3 linked regions of the Danio rerio genome follow. The protein of the gene in region 1 interacts with the protein of each later gene in a pairwise test. Links are inferred from orthologs where the notes say so. Each region holds a gene or a part of one and is shown in the gene's direction. Other genes may lie near its edges. The genes, in order: sufu, glis3 and hdx.

Region 1 (3,662 bases):
GCACAGTCAGGAGGAGGGTATGAAAGACCAAAAATATATCCAAAGATTCACAGCTGGAGAATTGCAGAAGTTATTTGGTTGACTCAAGATTGACTATTTGATGTAACCTACATCACCACAAATAATTTGAAATGGCTTTAAGAAAAAGCTTCTGCTTTCATCCAAAACCAACTCAAATGTCTTCATTTTTTATTACTATTTTTTAGCAAAAGATTAAAAGGTTGAACAACACACAGCTTTCTTTGCTTATATTTACAAAGGTTGTTGAATTCAGTCTAGGGCACTGCATTTGTGTCTTACTACATTTATTTTTTCGTGCTGGGGCATTGTGGAAATTGCAGATAAGAGTAGTGGATTTTGAATGCTGTTGCTTTATAGAAGGCACGAGGGAGCTCAAATTGGCTGGGATGCTTTGTGCTGTTCTTATTTTTCATTATTCAGAAATGAAGTTTGATTTCTCTTCTGGTTTGTTTGCAGTGCTGGAGGTCCATGGTTAATCACTGACATGAGAAGAGGAGAATCCATATTTGACATTGATCCACATTTGCAAGTAAGGATTTTTGTAGTGTGCATGGTGCTAAAAGAATAGCTTATTCGCAGATAAAAATACTTATAATGATGTTCCTAAGCTTACAGCCCTATGATTTTCATAGTGCAAAAAATGTTGGTGGAATTCAGTCATAAAAACAGAGTTGGCTGCATAAGAGGCCGTTCACATTTCACATCTAAAACTGCATGGAAAAGGCGAGGCTTCTCGTTTTCTTGCATTTTAATGCGCTTCTGAATCACTTCATAAGCGATTTGTTATTATTATAGTTTATCATTATATTATGTAAAAAAATAAAATAGCCAGCGTCTTTGTTTCTGAATAAAAGTTTGCTTTAACTTAAATGTAAATTGGACAGAGATAGAGCACATTCTACTGGACAAGGGTAATCTATCACCACTACTACTGCTACTTCTACCACTACTACTAATATTAGTAACTTTTTAAGAAAAAAACTAAGCTTTTTCAGTATTACCTTGTTTAAATTTTCTAAAAAATATTTTTATTGAATATTTATTGAAAAACAACAACAACAGCAAAAAACGAATAGAAAACAAATTTAAACTGGAGTGAAAATGCTGGTAAGCATAATGCCAATAAAAGAGAAAACGGTAAACAAAAAATAACTGTGCGCAAGCATTGTTTTACACGTATAACCATGACTGCACATCTGCAGCGCCATCACCCAGCAATATCACTGTCTGTAGGCAGGATAGCAGAGAAGGTAATAAAGTCCTCCAAATAGCAACAATTCCCTCGCTGAATCTACCCAACTGGTTCCAAGAGACACATAAAAATAACTAAGGCAGTGCGGGTGTTTGTTGCTTAAGATTTGCAGCCGTTTTCGGTGATTGGAGATGTGGGCTTTTGTCATTTTATAAAAGCACTCGATCCGTGTTACAGACTACAGTCTCGCATTTTTTCAGCACCGAGATAATTAGGATGGTTTATTTATGTTTACCTAAGAACAAATATGTTTATTTAAAATGACCAATTTATCCTTATTTAATTCACATGTATGTTTATTTTCTAAATGTAGGATTCCCCAGTTTGTACATGGGCTACCAGCAGCTGTGAGATTTCAGTGTTAATTTTTTTATACAATGCACTAGGAACTAGTGTACTTTTCTTGGCTTTTAAGTAAAACAAAATAAGTATTGCAATAAACTGTTTATATTTTTTTCTCCCTTACCTCTTACTGTCCCTATTGCCTATTGAATAATAAAAACACACATGTGTCAAGCCATGAGAACCGAACCAAAAACCGTGTTAAAAAACTGAGGTATGTATTGAACCGTGAGCTAACTGTATTGTTGCACTACTGTGCACTTAATTCTGCTCAAACCATTTAAGTCGCCTCCATTTTCCACGTGAGTGAAATTATTATATGCTTGTATATTCCATATCTATAAATGTATTTGTTTATAAAGGATAATTTATCATTTATAATTACTTGAACTTGCACTCCAGAATCTGATTGATAATCAAGCGCATGTGGTCAGAACACAAACGTGTCGCAGGTATAATGAAGTGTTTAACGTTTCTCCTAATGAAAAAACTGTCTAAGCAAAATGATAGCATGGGTCTGTAGCTCCGTCATTTTTGCCCTTTTTGGTATCCCCACGCCTGGTGGGATGACGCCCGAACAAAATGGCGTTGATTGGCCATGCCCACTTTTAGCTTTGTTTGCGCTCTTCAGAAACCCATGGGTGACGTCACGGATACTACATATTGTTTAGTCTATGGTGTGTATGTCTGCGAGAGAAGCAGGTCAGTGCTGAGCTCAGTAATATTCATGACATGATCCATATATGGTCAGTTATAGACCTTCTGATTCTAGGGCTATTTTATGGATCAAAACATGAGAATAAAATATATATATATTAAATTTACTGACGTCATAAACCTGCTATGTAGATATCAGAGAATAATTTTAACTTATTAAGCTAATGCAGTATTTGCATTCTTTAAGTTAAATATTGGATATTTAATTTGTTTTGCAATTTACACTACTTATGTACTTTAAACAAAGTTTCAAATGTACACTTTAGGGTTGAGAGTATAGCCTGTTTAGATATAGTGCCTCATCCAAGCTAAAATGGTCTTTTCCTTGAAATATTTGCCACCTTTACTCCCTTAACACAGTTTACATCTCTCAAGTAACACACAATTTTAATTCCTGGTGATTTAAAGGTATAGTTCACCCAAAAATGAAAATATACTCACACTGTGCACACTCACACAGTGAAGCTTCAGCATTGAAAAGGTGGATTTGTAATTAAGTCTGGCCTCTTAAACTGGACCCCTCCACCTGCTGTTAGTCCTCTGCTCTATACACTGAGACGGACACATGTCCAGCCACGCTTCTCCCCTGCTGATATGTGCGTGTGTTGATTGCTCATCCAAAGCAGGAACGAGTGGATAAGGGCATCGAGACGGATGGCTCTAACCTGAGTGGGGTGAGTGCCAAGTGTGCTTGGGATGACTTGAGCAGACCTCCCGAGGACGAGGACGACAGCAGGAGCATTTGCATTGGGGCACAGCCACGCAGACTGTCGGACAAAGGTGAGGCATGCTAAGGACAAATGCAATTTAAGAACGGCTCAACAAACCAGCTTGATTAAAATACAGTGTCTCAAGCAGGGATTTTGTTTTTCTGTATCAATATAGATTTATGCACAAACTGAAAATCACAAATACTATTCTTAAAGGGATGTAAAATAGAAAAAATAGACAAAATAGTAAAAAATAGAAAATCCCTCCACTTATTCTACAATATCCATACAATATTGTATATATTCTACTATGCCTGTACAGTTGTTGCTCGTTAATTGCAGGAGTTACATTCTAAAAATAGCCTGCTATAGGTGAAATCCATGAAGTATTCCGCTTTACTCTTCACAATTATTATAGATGTTTTAAAGGAGCAGTAAGGCATCTGCCTAAATGCTAACATTTAGCACAATATCTTTTAAATACAGTCCCTCTCCTGCTGTCCAAAGCTACGCCTCCTGAAATCATGAGTGTGCACTTTAAAGATGACAGAAACCCATTAGATCATGTCATTCGCCAGTTAGAAAACCTTATAGTACTTTATAATACTACAATTCTGAAT
Region 2 (3,662 bases), on another chromosome or scaffold:
GGCGGTTTATTTCGCTGTGGCGACGATTATTATTATTATTATTATTATTAATTATTTCAGTATTTCAATTGCATATATACAGTAGATGACTACTGAAATATATTCTCTGGCTGTTGAAACATTGCAGCTGTAAAATTAATTAAAATTAATGATTAATTTGAATTAATTAATTAATTAATGTAATTTAAATTAATTAAATTAAGATTAATTAAAACTAATATTAATAAAAATTTTGTTAGCATATGCAATCCTTCTGATAAACGTAACCTTCTATAGAAAAATAGAATTGTTCTGTAAAATGTATGTATATAACAAAAAATACAGTTTATATTTATAAATATGTATATGTATATTTATATATATGTATATGTATATTTTCATAAACTAATTGCTCAACTGAGTTTTTCAAACGCATATGCAATCATCCTGATAAACAAGCTTTTATAGTAAAAATAGAATTATTGTGCAAAATATAATTAGATTTAAAAAATACAGGCTCTGTCATTTATCCTTTGGTTTATCCTTTTTATTTTTACTATTGTTGTTGTTGTTGGCATTATTAATATTATTATATTATTATTTATCAACCTCCTTTATTCCTGTAGTTTGTTCATTACCCCACTGTTATATGCTGATGGTCTGCATCATATTTTCTGTGTTCACATTTAATTCCAAAAATAAAACATTTGATGTAAGAAAGTAAAAAAATACTAATTAATCTGCTTCTCTGAGTTGATTTATACACAACTGCTAAATTTATATAAGCTATTTAAGGCAAGTACGTTATAAGTAAATGGAATTAAATGTGTTAACTAATTAATGAATCCCTTACTTTACTTATTTAGCATTTAATTACATGAATTAGTTCATTTGTAGCTAATTACACTCAGCGCTGCTGATAATCTGCATTTTACAGTTTGGATTAATGATGCATCTGTGTGGCATCCAGCTCTATATACGCTGAAAAAAGATATCAATAATAATATTGCCAGCAGAAATTCATTGGATTTACTCAGTTTGTTTAAGGTAACTGCTTGCAAACTATTGATATGGGCTGAATTTAAACAAACAAATTAAAATTAGCAATGTTCAACTTCATTTGTTTGTAAAATTCAGCCCATATCAGAACCACTTCATTCATTCATTTTCTTTCGGCTTAGTTCCTTATTTATCAGAGGTCGCCACAGTGGAATGAACCACCAACTATTCCAGTGTATGTTTTACACATGAATGCCCTTTCAGCTGAAACCCAGTACTGGGAAACACCCATAAATACTCATTCACACACACACACACACTCATACACTACGGCCAATTTAGTTTAGTGCATGTGTTTGGACTGTGGGGGAAACCGGACCACCCGGAGGAAACCCACGCTAGCATGGGGAGAACATGCAAACTCCACACAGAAACACCAACTGACCCAGCTGGGACTCGAACCAGCAACCTTCCCGCTGTGAGGCCACAGTGCTAACCACTGCGCCACCCTTTGCCACCACTTATACGCTTTTTCAGTGTATATCTCCACACAAGCCATATGCACTGATTATGCATATTTAGGAGTGTAAGCGGAGAACAAACCGATCGGCGCTGAATGATTCACACACTCGTACAGCAACAGATTGCGGTTCTGCAAAAATAGATCCGTTTAATCTCATCATGCAGACCGCAGAAAGTTTCCCCGAGTTCAGATGTCAGTGTGAGGAAGGGGAGTCTGACATTACCGGATTACAGCAGGATTACAGGCTGCGCTGTGAATAATCTGATCATGTTTGTATTTGTTGCGTTAACTCTGCTCAGGTTTCTCGGCTGTGTTTTCATACGCCGACTCAGACAAACACATCTCCTCCTGCTCCGTCATGCAGACGCCCATGTTTGAGGACAATCTCAGCTCGTCGCCTCAGATCCACAGCAACATCTCCGGTAAACACACACACACACACACTAATACTGGGACAATCAGGCTGTGTGATGTTGTGTTGTCTTTGTGTGCCACACAGTTGAAGTCAGAATATTTCCTAAATGATGTTGAACAGATTGAGGAATTGTTCACAGTATGTCTGATAATATTTGTTCTTCTGGAGAAAGTCTGATTTGTTTTATTTGGTCTAGAATAAAAGCAGTTTCACATTTTTAAACACCATTTTAAGGTCAATATTATTCGCCCCTTTCAGCAATATTAGTGTTGGATTGTCTCCAGAACAAACCACTGTTATACAATGACTTACCTAATTACCCTAACTTTACCCTAATTACCCTAGTGAAGCCTTTACATGTCACTTTAAGCTGAACACTAGTGTCTTGAAGAACATCTAGTCTAATATTACGTGCTGTCATCATGGAGAAGAGAAAATAAATCAGTTATTAGAGATGAGTTATTAACACTGTTATGATTAGAAATGTGTTGAAAAATTCTTCTCTCCCTTAAACAGAAATAAAAAGGTGCGTTAATAAATCAGGGGGTTAACAATTCTGACTTCAACTGCATATATATATATATATATATATATATATATATATATATATATATATATATATATATATATATATAATACATATTATATAGTTTTAATTTTAAATTTTATATTTAAAATAAATGTAAATAAAATTAAAGATTTTTTTATAAAATTCTGATAATAGAATTAAAATAATTTCCGGCTCATTCTGGAAACGTAGTCCCGCAAACGTTTCTGGGGACCGAGAAATACATCCTGGAAGGTACGTATTTGTGCAGACTTTGTTTTCGCGAATGCGCGTGAGGCCTCTGTGTACGCTTTTTTGCATCTCGAACGCCTCTGTGCTCGCATAAAGCCGCTGGAGGGCGCTGTCGAGTGACTGTCTGTCCGACTGACTGAAGGATTGACTGGGGGACCGGCCAATTGGCCAACCCACCCCCTCCTCCTCCTTCCCTAAACCTAACCGGTTTTACCGATTGACCCGCCTGGCCGCCCGCTTCCTTCCCTAAACCCAAGCAATGATTTACAAAAGCCGTCCAGAAAAAGAAAAGCCCTCGTCTGATTTTGACCCTGTTTTCCGATCTCACCACATTCTCACGCTGTTGTTCACTCAGTCGTTTTATTTTTTGGATTCTGTTTTTGTCTTACCTGATTTCCGGAACCGATCTTTCCCGGGCTCAAACCCTGGTCGTGGCGGACAGCTCCCCTCCGGATCTCCACTCCGCCGTCTTACACAACGAGTTAACCAGACAAACTGGTTGCGGCAGGAAAGTCCTCCACATGGAGGTGAGCAGTCAGCCAGCGAGCGCGAAGAGGAGCGGCGTCACACCGCCCTGTAGCATTCGCTTAAAATAAATGAAATGCAGCCATACGTACATCCAGCTACGTAAATCGCGGTTTCCGGAAACGTCCGCGGGACTACGTTTTCAGAATGAGCTTGGGTGGAAAATAACACAAAGCACAACAAATGTATAATATTTCTATTTTTAATATATAATTTTTTATTTGTTAATAAATCAAGGTTTAAATGAGCATTTCATGCAAACATTTTAGAGAACATGTCAGACAGGTGAGCCTTCAACAATTGATAAGAGAAAAAAAGTGCGCCCCCCTGTGGAAAATGTTGAGAACTCCTGTCGCACACTAATATTTAAACAATTTCTAAAAAATAATCACGTTCTGGTCATCTGATATTTGGCATGGACA
Region 3 (3,662 bases), on another chromosome or scaffold:
GAATAGATTTACACCCAGCAGTGCGTCTCTGCTGCATGTTCAGATTAATCAACCTGATTCCTGGGGTCTCTCAGCACATCCATCAGAGGGATGGAAAAATGGCTGGAAAAGAGGAGCATTCACACTGTGAGTATGCCTACAAGCTCATATGCACTAAAAACTCAGCGATTCACATTAATATAATAATGTACAATTAATATAATGATGTACAATGCTATAATAGATGTAACCAAACAAATTCATGTTAATGTGATAAACAGCATTGTGTCAAACACAAGTTCATAAAAATGCATGTGAAGATCCATATTAAAAGAACAAAAGTGTCAAAATATGAAAATAAATTAATGTATTCTAGTATATAGTTTAGCCCAAAATGAAAATGTTCAGTTAAAGGTGCAGTAGGTGATCTTTCACAATGCTAAAAGCTTAGCATAAATCTCTGAATCACAGTCCCTCCCCTGCCGTCTAGAGCCACACCTCCTAGCAAAGCAAAAGAACCCTCTCTCATGTGTTAAAAGCGACTAGTGCTTGTCCGGCGTTGAGCAAGCCAAACTGACATGCTATGTCAGAGTGAATATTTAGAGTTGCATGGTAAACAATATAGGGAGAGACTAGGCGGAATAGCGCTATTTACTTGTGTTTTGTTGGTAAACTAATTAAAATCTACATTATAGATGCTGTAAAAGGTCCCTTATGAAACTGAAAATAGTCTTATCAATCTTTCATCGGAAGATTTTAGTGGCTGAACAACACTTCTTTGAAGATATATCCCGTTTGTAACAACAACATCTAACGTTACATCAGCTTTGCATGAAGCTAAAATAGTTTTAAAACAAAACATTACCTGTCTAAGAGAAATCCTTAGAAACTCTGTAATGATAGTTATTATCATCTGCTTGTGTAGCAGTTATCCCATCATGAAAAGCTCAAATATGGGCTTCTTTAACTTTAAGATGTGTTTTGAGAATGACTTTTGTTAATACAGTAGGCTGTTATTGATGTTCTTGTTCATTTAACATCCTTTTCATCTTACAGATGAACTTGCGGTCTGTATTTACTGCCGAGCAACAGCGGATCCTGGAACGCTATTATGAGAACGGCATGACCAATCAGAGCAAGAGCTGCTTCCAGCTCATCCTGCAGTGTGCTCAAGAGACCAAACTTGACTTCAGCGTGGTTCGAGTAAGCATGAGTTTCCTTTTGTTCATTTATAAATAATTGCAGCTTTTTTTTTCCATTTAGTGGTCTAGCATTATGTACATTTCCACAATTGATATCAATACATAAACAACTATTACATAAGTTAATTAAATATCTATTAAAAGTTGAAAAGTTAATAAGTTTTTTAAAGTTAAAAGAAATGGCACAATGTCATCAGTTTGTTAGTAGAAAGTTTGTTACAAATACGAAATGTCTCTTCTGGTTTGTGGTGATTGTATATGGATTGGTATCATGACAGCATGACTAGCTCAATGCTAGCAACCTGTTAATTAGGTGAACATAACAGGGCATTTTTAGCATGACATTAAATGTTTTAGCTAATGTTACTAGCATGTTTTAACGTGGCTAGCTTATGCTAACATACTTCATCTAATATGTAGCATGTTAAAGTACATAGTTGATTGTTAGCTAGTTATTGCCAGTCAAAAGCCCTAAACCCCATGTCTCTATGATGCTCTGAAGCAGAGATATTGATGTTGCGCAACTCACATTTTATCCAGAAAAGTACATAGTTATTAATTAGGAGTATTAGGAGTAGTTATTAATATTATTGCATGCATATTTGAATCTGGTGCTTTTATAGGTAGTTTAAACAAACAGTGGAGTCTTTTTATTTTTAAATAGCTTATTACAGATATGACAGTGAAAGTTGTTTAATGTAAGACATTGCAATATAAGATCAACATTTTATTACATTTTAAGAAAATTGATTACATTATGAACATTTCATTACAATAGTAATGTAATAATTATCACATTATTTAGAGTTATTACATTACATGACATTATTACATCACTTGGCATACATGTGCAGTTTTAATTGATTATGAGGACACAACAGTGTAGTGTTATGGCTTTGTGCGCTCGTCTTTATTTAGTGAAATCATTCCAGTTCAATATAAAATAATCACATAAATCAATTTGACAATTTCTGTTTCTCACACGCAAACTAAAGACATCTTAGAACTATAACTAAGAATGTTATGTTTAATGCATTTTTACAATGTTTATAGACTTTTTTATTTCGACAGATGCAATATGCATATGCAAACCGCAGGGTAGAGATCCGCGCGAGACAATTTTGAATCACGCTCCTGCCAGGTTTTAGGCCGAACCTGACCGCTCCCGCTTATATTCAGCTTTTGTTGTCCACTGCCCGACCCGCCCCGTTTTCTACCCGCCGCGCCTGATCCGGCTAAAGAGCGGGGGGGAGAACAAAACCGAAAACCACCCAGCAATACAGAGTCCAGACAGCCTATAACAAGCTGTCTGTATAAACACACACACACACACACACACACACAAGCACCAAGCACACACACAGACAAAGCTCTCTCTCTCTCTCATTCACGCCCACACACACTCACAAAGCTATAAACAAGCTAAACACAGCATCGCGCTGTCTCATTCACACACATACATATGCGTGCTCGCTCGCTCAGGAATCGGAAGCGATATTGCTAGATGGCCCGGTCCAGTCCCAAGTTAAACCCGTTACCGACCGCTCCCACGATTTATTCAGAAATTTAAAATGCAGACCTCTACCGTGGGGGCGTCCTGTATGACACTGGTAAAGTCTTAAAGAGATGTTTGGTCACCATTGACTTTCACTTCCAGTTGATGGCCAACTACTATGGAATTCACTCCACTATAGAATGTATGGAATTCAATAGTATTCAATAGTAATCCCCAACATAGGCTCATTCTGAATACGTACTCCTATATTATAGGAAGAATATAAGAATATATATAAGAATATATAGACCTTATTCTTCAATGCAAAAGTGCACTCTTTTGCGATTAAGAACTTTCGATTCAGTTCCCTATGGTAGAAATGAGTAGTAAACGGCAGAAAATGGTCAAACTACGTGCTCTACAAACAAGTGCGTCCATGACTGAACAGACAATATAGAATAATAAAATAAGAAAATATCAGTTTGCAACATCAAGCAGCAAAACAAGCCAATTTTGACGTCTAAAAATAAATGAATTAGACCGGAAGTCTCGAGCCAAAAAGATTCAAATGGCTGCGCCCAGTCGTATGCGGAGAATAGTGTAAATACATTTCTGGAGATCGCAAATTATATAGCCAGAGGTACAATTTGTCTTTAAAACGAATGCTATGTGGTGATAGGATGCAGTTCCTTGTGGCGCTTACCAGCTGACGGCTTACCTCCATATGGACAGCTTTTTCGCTATTACCAGTTTTTGCATACGTCGGCAGACTTGTGACGTGGAGCAAAGTTGACTGACGACGGGGTACGAGTCCGGCAGCAGGTAAGATAAAAACAAAAGCCAAAAAATAAAATAAACAAGTAAATAACAGGGTGAGAATCTGTTAAATTCTAAAACGTGGCTGCCGCGAATGCTTTTCTATTTCTTGATTGCTTATTAAAACAATATCAGTTATGTTTTAAGAAGGAGAAGGGTGGGTCAGCTGA

The links.
Region 2: the proteins of sufu (region 1) and glis3 interact in binary tests that used the Homo sapiens proteins (3 or more experiments, as listed by UniProt). The link is inferred for Danio rerio from reciprocal best matches to the Homo sapiens genes SUFU and GLIS3.
Region 3: the proteins of sufu (region 1) and hdx interact in binary tests that used the Homo sapiens proteins (3 or more experiments, as listed by UniProt). The link is inferred for Danio rerio from reciprocal best matches to the Homo sapiens genes SUFU and HDX.

The regions. Positions count from the first base shown.
Region 1 is NC_133188.1:12,265,157-12,268,818, forward strand, and holds part of sufu (suppressor of fused homolog), read left to right. Parts: intron 1-477; coding exon 478-550; intron 551-2,955; coding exon of another isoform or gene 2,956-2,958; coding exon 2,959-3,112; intron 3,113-3,662. UniProt on the Homo sapiens protein: Negative regulator in the hedgehog/smoothened signaling pathway. Down-regulates GLI1-mediated transactivation of target genes. Down-regulates GLI2-mediated transactivation of target genes. Part of a corepressor complex that acts on DNA-bound GLI1.
Region 2 is NC_133185.1:953,816-957,477, reverse strand, and holds part of glis3 (zinc finger protein GLIS3), read left to right. Parts: intron 1-1,800; coding exon 1,801-1,923; intron 1,924-3,662. UniProt on the Homo sapiens protein: Acts both as a repressor and an activator of transcription. Binds to the consensus sequence 5'-GACCACCCAC-3'.
Region 3 is NC_133189.1:6,749,733-6,753,394, reverse strand, and holds part of hdx (highly divergent homeobox), read left to right. Parts: 5' UTR 1-90; coding exon 91-126; intron 127-1,035; coding exon 1,036-1,182; intron 1,183-3,662.